Caenorhabditis elegans: one gene and its partner. The protein of the gene in region 1 purifies or fractionates together with the protein of each later gene. This does not show direct contact. Each region holds a gene or a part of one and is shown in the gene's direction. Other genes may lie near its edges. The genes, in order: fbxa-101 and F07F6.7.

Evidence for each region.
Region 2: the proteins of fbxa-101 (region 1) and F07F6.7 fractionate together in Caenorhabditis elegans (co-fractionation; one large-scale study listed by BioGRID). This does not show direct contact.

Annotation. Positions count from the first base shown.
Region 1 is NC_003279.8:12,958,111-12,962,063, reverse strand, and holds fbxa-101 (DUF38 domain-containing protein), read left to right. Parts: upstream 1-2,131; 5' UTR 2,132-2,144; coding exon 2,145-2,203; intron 2,204-2,258; coding exon 2,259-2,342; intron 2,343-2,399; coding exon 2,400-3,081; intron 3,082-3,128; coding exon 3,129-3,332; 3' UTR 3,333-3,424; downstream 3,425-3,953. Other genes in the region: fbxa-140 (F-box domain-containing protein), read left to right, coding at 603-655, 710-1,382, 1,432-1,692.
Region 2 is NC_003280.10:5,422,182-5,425,732, reverse strand, and holds F07F6.7 (Apolipoprotein L, 1), read left to right. Parts: upstream 1-1,874; 5' UTR 1,875-1,901; coding exon 1,902-1,937; intron 1,938-1,987; coding exon 1,988-2,107; intron 2,108-2,153; coding exon 2,154-2,573; intron 2,574-2,621; coding exon 2,622-2,717; intron 2,718-2,764; coding exon 2,765-2,890; 3' UTR 2,891-2,998; downstream 2,999-3,551. Other genes in the region: F07F6.8 (Apolipoprotein L3-like), read left to right, coding at 15-104, 478-597, 655-1,074, 1,122-1,217, 1,266-1,496; Embryonic developmental protein tofu-6, read right to left, coding at 3,069-3,161, 3,216-3,331, 3,377-3,548.

The DNA of each region.
Region 1 (3,953 bases):
ACGAAAATAAACGTTTTATTTCAAATTCTATTTGCTACTTTGCATGCAAATTGTTTTTTTTTCATTATATTCTGAAAATAAAATAAGTTAAAATTAGCCGTTTCAAAAAAAGTTTCCGAAACTACGGTAGTTCTCGGAGTACGCAACTTGCGTACCGGGCATCTCATTTGACGCACAGAATTCCTAGTTTATTGTTTTTGGATTTTCAAAATTTCAAACATAGTTTTTGCATTTTTCCTGTCGTTTTTGTGATTTTTATTTGTGAAAATTTATTAGACAGAAAAGAAATTTTCAGTTTTCACGAAATTTACTGGAAAATTTGTTATTTTACCGTTAGGTAACGTATTTTACAAAGATATTTCACTTTATCCGTATTTTCTTATTGTTTTCTTCACTTCAAACGATTGAAAACTGAATCAATCAAATAAATTTCCTATTTTTCAGGTAATTTGTCAAAATGACTGGCTCATCTCGTGGAATTGTCGAAATGACAAAGAAACTGGATCGATTAAATTGTTAGTGTTAAAATGAAATTTGCATCGGATTCAGTTTAAAATTTGCTTATTTTCAGATCGAAGAAAAGACCACTTACGCTTTTAAGCATGCCAGTTGATGTTATGGAGAAAGTTATGAAGAAAGTGGATCCATACGATTGGTATCAAATTTTGAATGTTAGGCAAATGTTAAAAAAAAACCAAATGAGTTTCAGGATTTCCGTCCGCAATTCCAATCGAAATCTTCGAGATTTCGTCGACAGCCAGCACCTCAAATTGGACATTGATGTTTCTATTGAGGGCACTTTTCACACCATTGATATCAATGGAAATCAATCCTTCGGACCTTTCCATCCGGTCGTGGCTGATGATGAAAGAAGAACCATCTACAATAAAAGACTACAGTTTGCTCTCAGAAAATTGTTCGTGGTTATGAAGCTTCCAAGTGCCCAAATTGAAGAGTTCAAACTGGATTTTGACTTTATGGGAAGAGGAAGTGACGAATTTGAAGATATCTACGATATTGGTTCCAGAAGAGTTAGTTTTAAAAATAAACTGTTGAGTGCAAGCCTGAGAACAATCGATAAGGAGTTTGGAGAGTTTCACTGTTTCCAAGCGAAATCAGTTTCTCTGAGTGGACTAAAGGAACCTCGAACTGTGCTCATTCTCAAATCTTTCAAGTCTGGAACTCTCGAGAACATTGAAATCATTAATTCCTACAAGTTCTACTTCAGTTGGCAGCTGACGCTTTCGGAGCAGTGGAAGAATGCGAAAAAACTGAAAACTGGACTTTCCACTGATCGCTACACCGGAATTCGAGTTGCTGAACTGTTCGCATTTTCAAATATCGAATTCACAACTGTAGTATTGTCATCTGATTTGAAAGTGGTATAGAAATTCTTAATTATTGATTAATTAATTTTAGATTTTTTTTCAGTTGGTTGATTCGTCTGCAAAGCTGGAAACTTGTCTCAGCAGGAACACGTATGACAGCGAGGATGACAGCGATGAAGATAGTGATGAAGACAGCGATGATGAGGACAATAGTGGAGTGTTAACGGTGTCAAAAGAAGTGCTCAAAGTGTTCGATCCGAACTTTGTTGGCTATAACGGAACAATCAATTACAAAGCAAATGGATTCGAATATCTCATTGAAGTCACTGAATTCGAAACTAAAATTGTGAAGAAAATCGAATAATCTTCTCATTTTTCAAAATTTGCTTTTGTTTTACTAGTCACATGAATTCTTATTTTGTTACTTTTTTTGTTTTGAAACTGATTAAACCAATAATTTGGGTTACGGCTGAATGTTACCTTCCGTTTAATATTTTGTAATCTTCCCAGTTTTTCTATATTTTAAAAGGAATTCTCGAATAGTTAACAAAGATCCTTTTCCAAACTACGGTAACTCTCAGAGTACGCAGTATGCGTACCGGGCATCTCATTTGACGCACAAAAATTCTAAATTTTTTTTTGAATTTTCAAATGTGGTTTATGCGTTTTTCTAACCAATTTTTTGTGATTTTTCCCCTGAAAATGATTTAAAATAAGTAAAATAACCTGTTTTTGTAAAAATTAATTTCGTTTTTACACATTGAACGTGATTTTCTATATTTACTCAAATTAATTTTTTTCAGGTAATTCGTCGACATGACTAGCCAAAGAGCAGAAATTGGTGAAACGACGGACAAGCAGAATTCCATGAAATTGTTAGTTATTTAGGCTACAATAATTTCAAATAACTTTTTTAAAACACATTTTCAGATCGAAGACAAGCTCGCCGACGCTTTTTGACTTGCCTCTGAATATTATGAAGAAAATTGTGAAGAAACTGCATCCATACGATTGGTAAGATCAAATAAATAAAAATTATATTTTTAGAAAGTATAATAAAAATATTTTCAGGATTTCCGTTCGCAATTCCAATGGAAATCTTCGAAGCTTCATCGACACCTTGAAACTGGATTTGGACATTGATATTTTTATTGAGGGCCATAGGTACACCATTGTTCTCAATGGAAAATCATTTCGTTATCGGTATAGATTTGTGCCTTATGATGAAATAAGCAACGCTCGCAATGAACCTTTCCATCCGGTCGTGGCTGATGATGAAAGAAGAACCATCTACAATAAAGGACTACAGTTTGCTCTCAGAAAATTGTTCAATGTCATGAAGCTTCCAAAAGCTCAGATTGAGAAGTTCAGTCTAGATTTCGACTCAATTGGAGGATATGAAGACTATGTCCACAATGAACGGTTGAGGTCAAGCCTGAGAACAATCGATATGGAGTTTGGAGATGCTCACTGTTTCCGAGCGAAATCAGTTTCTCTGAGTGGATTCAAGAAACCACGAGCTGCGCTAATTCTCAGTTCTTTCGATGCTGGAACACTTGTGAAATTTGAGATTATGCGTTGCATCTTCAACGATATTCGTCCACTAACTTGCTTGGAACAGTTTAAAAATGCAAAACAATTGCGAACTGATCTTAACATTTGCTCCGTCTTTGGATTTACTGTGTCGGATCTTCTTGGATTTTCAAGTATTGAATTCACCAGTCCAGAGGTATCGCCAAATGATCTGAAAGAGGTATAGCAATAATCAATTTTTAGTTGATTTAATTAAAATTCTTTCAGTTGGTAAATTCGTCTACAAAGCTGGAAACTTGTGTCGTCAGCAAGCAATTAGATGATAGTGAATCAATTGCAGAAGAAATGCTCCAAGAGTTTGATCCTACCTTCGCTGGCAAAACCGGAACCATCAATTACAAGGCAAATGGATTTGAATATGTCATTGAAGTCACTGAAGAGCGAGTGAAAATTGAGAAGAAACTCGGCTGATTATTTAATTTTAATTTTTGTTTTTTGGTTTTTCAAAAATTGTTGTTTAATTTATTGTTGTTCATCTCGTTCTCATGAATTTGCTTTTGTCATTTTTCTTTGATCAACACTGGAAGGCTAATAGACTACAAACTAGACATTTTATAAGCCTAAGCCAAGAAAGTACATTGAAAAAACGTCGCTTCCGGTAAAGAAAATAAATCAACCGAAAGCGAAACTTGACTTTTTTTTGAAAATTATTTATGGAAAGTTCATGTTTTTAGTCGTTTTAGTGAAAAAATTTAAAAAAAAAAATTAAAAAAAAAAAAAAAATCAAGTGCTTAAATAAATTATATATTTTTGAAAAGAAAAATGAATTTATTCCTGCTCTAAGCTACAAATTTGTCATATTTTGAACCTTTCTTCTAGAAATTTTAGCTGAAAGTGAAGAATATACTAGCAAAAATTGTAAATTAATTTTTTAAAAACGTTTTTAGAAATTTTAAATTTTTTCACAAAAAAAAAATTTCCCAAAGTGTTTTTTCAAAATTCAAATTTTAATTTTATTACAAGCCCAAAACGTGTAACGAGTTCTATAACAATGATCTGGACCGCAAAATATGTCATTTTTGCAGCTATTTA
Region 2 (3,551 bases), on another chromosome or scaffold:
TAAAATCAGACAAGATGCAGATCAAAGATGATCACGACGACGCAGGTTCTCAGTCGGAAGACAACGGAGTTCCAATTTACGATTCATTGGAAAGCTTGCTATTTGTAAGATTTTTTTTAAAGTTTCAATAATACGGTACTGGGTATTTTGTAAAATTCCAGCGGGTGTGCGCCTTTAAAGAGTACTGTAATTTCAAACTTTTGCTGCTGCGGATTTTTACTCGACTTTTCATTGTTTTTTTCCCTAAAAAAATTGTTTTCAATAAACTAAAACAATGAAAACACAAACATTTTCAAAAAATTGCGAGAAAACTATGAAAAGTCGATGAAAATTCCAAGCCACTATACTTCGAACCTACTGTACTCTTTAAAGGCGCACATCCGGTTGTATTTAACAAAAATTGTCGTATCGAGACCGGGTACCGCATCTTTCCACAAAAAATTCCCGTCTTCGTAATATAATTATTAATGAATTTAGATTCCAAGGTCAATGTCAAAAGAATTGAGTGAAACAGCATTGCGTACACAGTTTTTATTGGACAAATGGAGCAATAATCGAAGAAAAATTGTCAGACAAATGGAAGGAATTGCTGAGAAGGTATGTACTTTAATGCGAGATTTTAATCAAAATGAATTTTAAAATTTTTAATTTCAGCTGGATAATTGGGAGAAAGGATGTGCAATTTCAACAGCTGTCGGAAGTACCGTTGGTATTGCATCTGGAATTGCAGTTATTGGAGGACTTATCTTGATGCCACCAGTTGCAATTGCTGGTCTCATCGTTGGAACAGCTTCAGGAGTTTCCAATTTGGCGACAGGCATCACGAAATTTTTTCATACAAAAGGGCAGCACAAAGAAGTAGCTGCAATGATTGCAGAAGACGGTGTACTTTTTGAAGAACTTCTGAAATCAAGAGAAGAACTTATGGAAGCTGTTCGGAAAATTGTTGAAGATGAGGAATTCTTTAAACATTTCAAAAACGACGGGGACATTGAAAATAAGCTGAAAACTGTGTTCGGTGGATCAGTTACTGGAATAACTGGAATTGGAACTAGATTTGCAATTACTTCGATGGTAAGCTCTTTTTATTATTTTTTTCATCAATATTATTTATTTTCCAGGGTCGCCTCTCCTCTTCTCTTGTCAAAGGAGTTCTTCACAGTGTAGCTGTAATTGGAATCGTTCTAGACAGTGTCACATTGGCGTTGAGCGCCAAGGTACAACAATTAATTTGAAATTTTCAAAATAAAATATACAAATTTCAGACTCTTGGAGAAGGATCCGTGTCGGAACTTGGATCTTCTATTTTAGAAGCATCTTCCAAAATGGAAATGATGCGCCAAAAAGTGGTAAAACACTTTTTGAATGAAGACGTCTGGAAAGACGATGATGACGTCCTCTCCGATGTTGGTTCTATTGAAATGGTGCAGCCAGAATCTCCAAATCAGTCACTGATAATGGATCCACATCAACAAGAATCATCTGTACAACATTAATATCGGGATTTTGAATTTTTCTGGGTTTCACTACTGTTTTGTTGTTATTTTGCGAAAGTTTCATGCGAATAAATAAAATAAATTCGGCACTTCAAGTGTGGGCATTGTGAAAATAACGGAAACCCGAAAATGGTAAATATCGATTAAAATCCAGAAAGAATGCGAGCTACAGTATACTCTACAGTACTAATTTAAAGGCTCAGATGTTCAATATTCCAGGTGGTCTTGAAAAGACACCTCATTGCTCAGAATAAAAATCAAAAACGAATCCGTGTTTTTAAGGAATTATTTTTTATTGTACTGTAACTTGTCTTCATTTAAATTCTTGTTTTCTTATTAAATTATTCACTATTTCAAATTCTAAATTAACTGATTCAGAGACTTATCTACAAACTGCAAAGCGATATGTCAATCTATGAATCTTTGAAAAGCACGTTGATGGTAAGATTTTTATTCAAATTCATTTTTTATAATTTATATTTCTTGTTCAGAATGGCGAAGAAATGCCAAAGGAACTCCAGGTTAAAGCCTGGGGAGCTCAATGGCACCTCGATCGTTGGAGCTCAAACCGACAAGAGATCATGAACCGAATGGAGGAGATTGCTAAAGATGTAGGTCGATAAAACATAGTTTTTCTATTTATTTTCTAAATTTCAGCTTGACGGATTGGAGAAGGCTTCAGCCATCGCAACAACTGTCGGAAGTTCCGTTGATATTGCATCTGGACTTGCAGTTTTCGGAGGACTATTCTTCATGCCACCAGTTGCAATTGCTGGTCTCATCGTTGGAGCAGCTTCCGGCGTCTCAAATGTCGCAACTGGAGTGAACAAGAAGCTTGCTACCGATCATAAAATCAGAGAAATCAATCGAATGCTCGCGGAGGATGCGAAGTTTTTTGAGGAACTTCTTCATTCGAGAAATGATTTGTTGAACGAAGTGAGGAGATTTGTGGAGGACAAGCAATCGTCAAAGATTTTCAAAAACTTCGACGATGTCCAGTCTCATTTGAAAACACTTTTTGGTGTTTCTCTCGCCGGAATCACAGGATTCGGAATTAAAATGGCCGCATCTTCCATGGTAGAATAGTTGTTTTTTTGAAATTTAAATTTTTACCTTCGTTTTTAGGGCCATCTCACGAATGCACTTATGAAAGGAATGCTGCAGAGCGTTGCAGCCATCGGAATCGTTCTGGACGGTGTTACCCTGGCCATGAGCGCTAATGTAACCGCGAACAATGTTATCAAAATATAATATTAATTTCATTTCAGACGCTTAAAAACGGATCTTCCTCTGAATTGGCAGGAAAAATTCGTGAAGCTTCCGGCAAGATGGAAAGGATGCGACACAATGTTGTAACCAACTTCTTGAATTACGACGCCTGGAACAGCGATTAGTTTTCACTTTTCAAAGTTTCTTGATTTTTTTCTTGTTGATTTTCTTTTCTTTTTGTTGTTTTCTCGTTGTTATTTTTCTTGTTGTTGTTCTTATAAAATCTGACACTGAATTAAAATGTTCATTTTTTTGACAACATCATAGATTCAATGTAATTTCGACAAAAAAAATGGGACAGATTTACAGCTCGAGCTCACGGAGCATGTTCTTCACTCCATCAATCTTCTTGAGTAGATCTTTGACGACATCAGCATCGTTCGAAATTTGAGCAGTCTGAAAATAAAGCCAAATTAAAACTGAAAATCCCTTTAAATCATCAAATCTCACCACTCCAGAATTATTGTGCTGAAGAAGAGTCTCGCGGGAGTATGCATAGTGTGGCTGCTGACTGCGTGGCAAGTATTCACAGACACCTTTACGTTGAAGACGGTCAGCAAGAATCGCTGTAAAAATTATTATGAGGGGAATTTTCAAAAGAAAAAACGCACATTTTCCACAGAACAGATTGATCATGTTAATAGAGCCTTGAAATCCACAAGCCATGGCGTGAAGCGTCGAATTTTCCATTTGTCCCCATTTTTTAACAACCTCGCGAATATTATCAAATGATGGAATGGCGACTGGTGACCAGGTAAGACCATCTAGTCCACACAAGGAAACCTG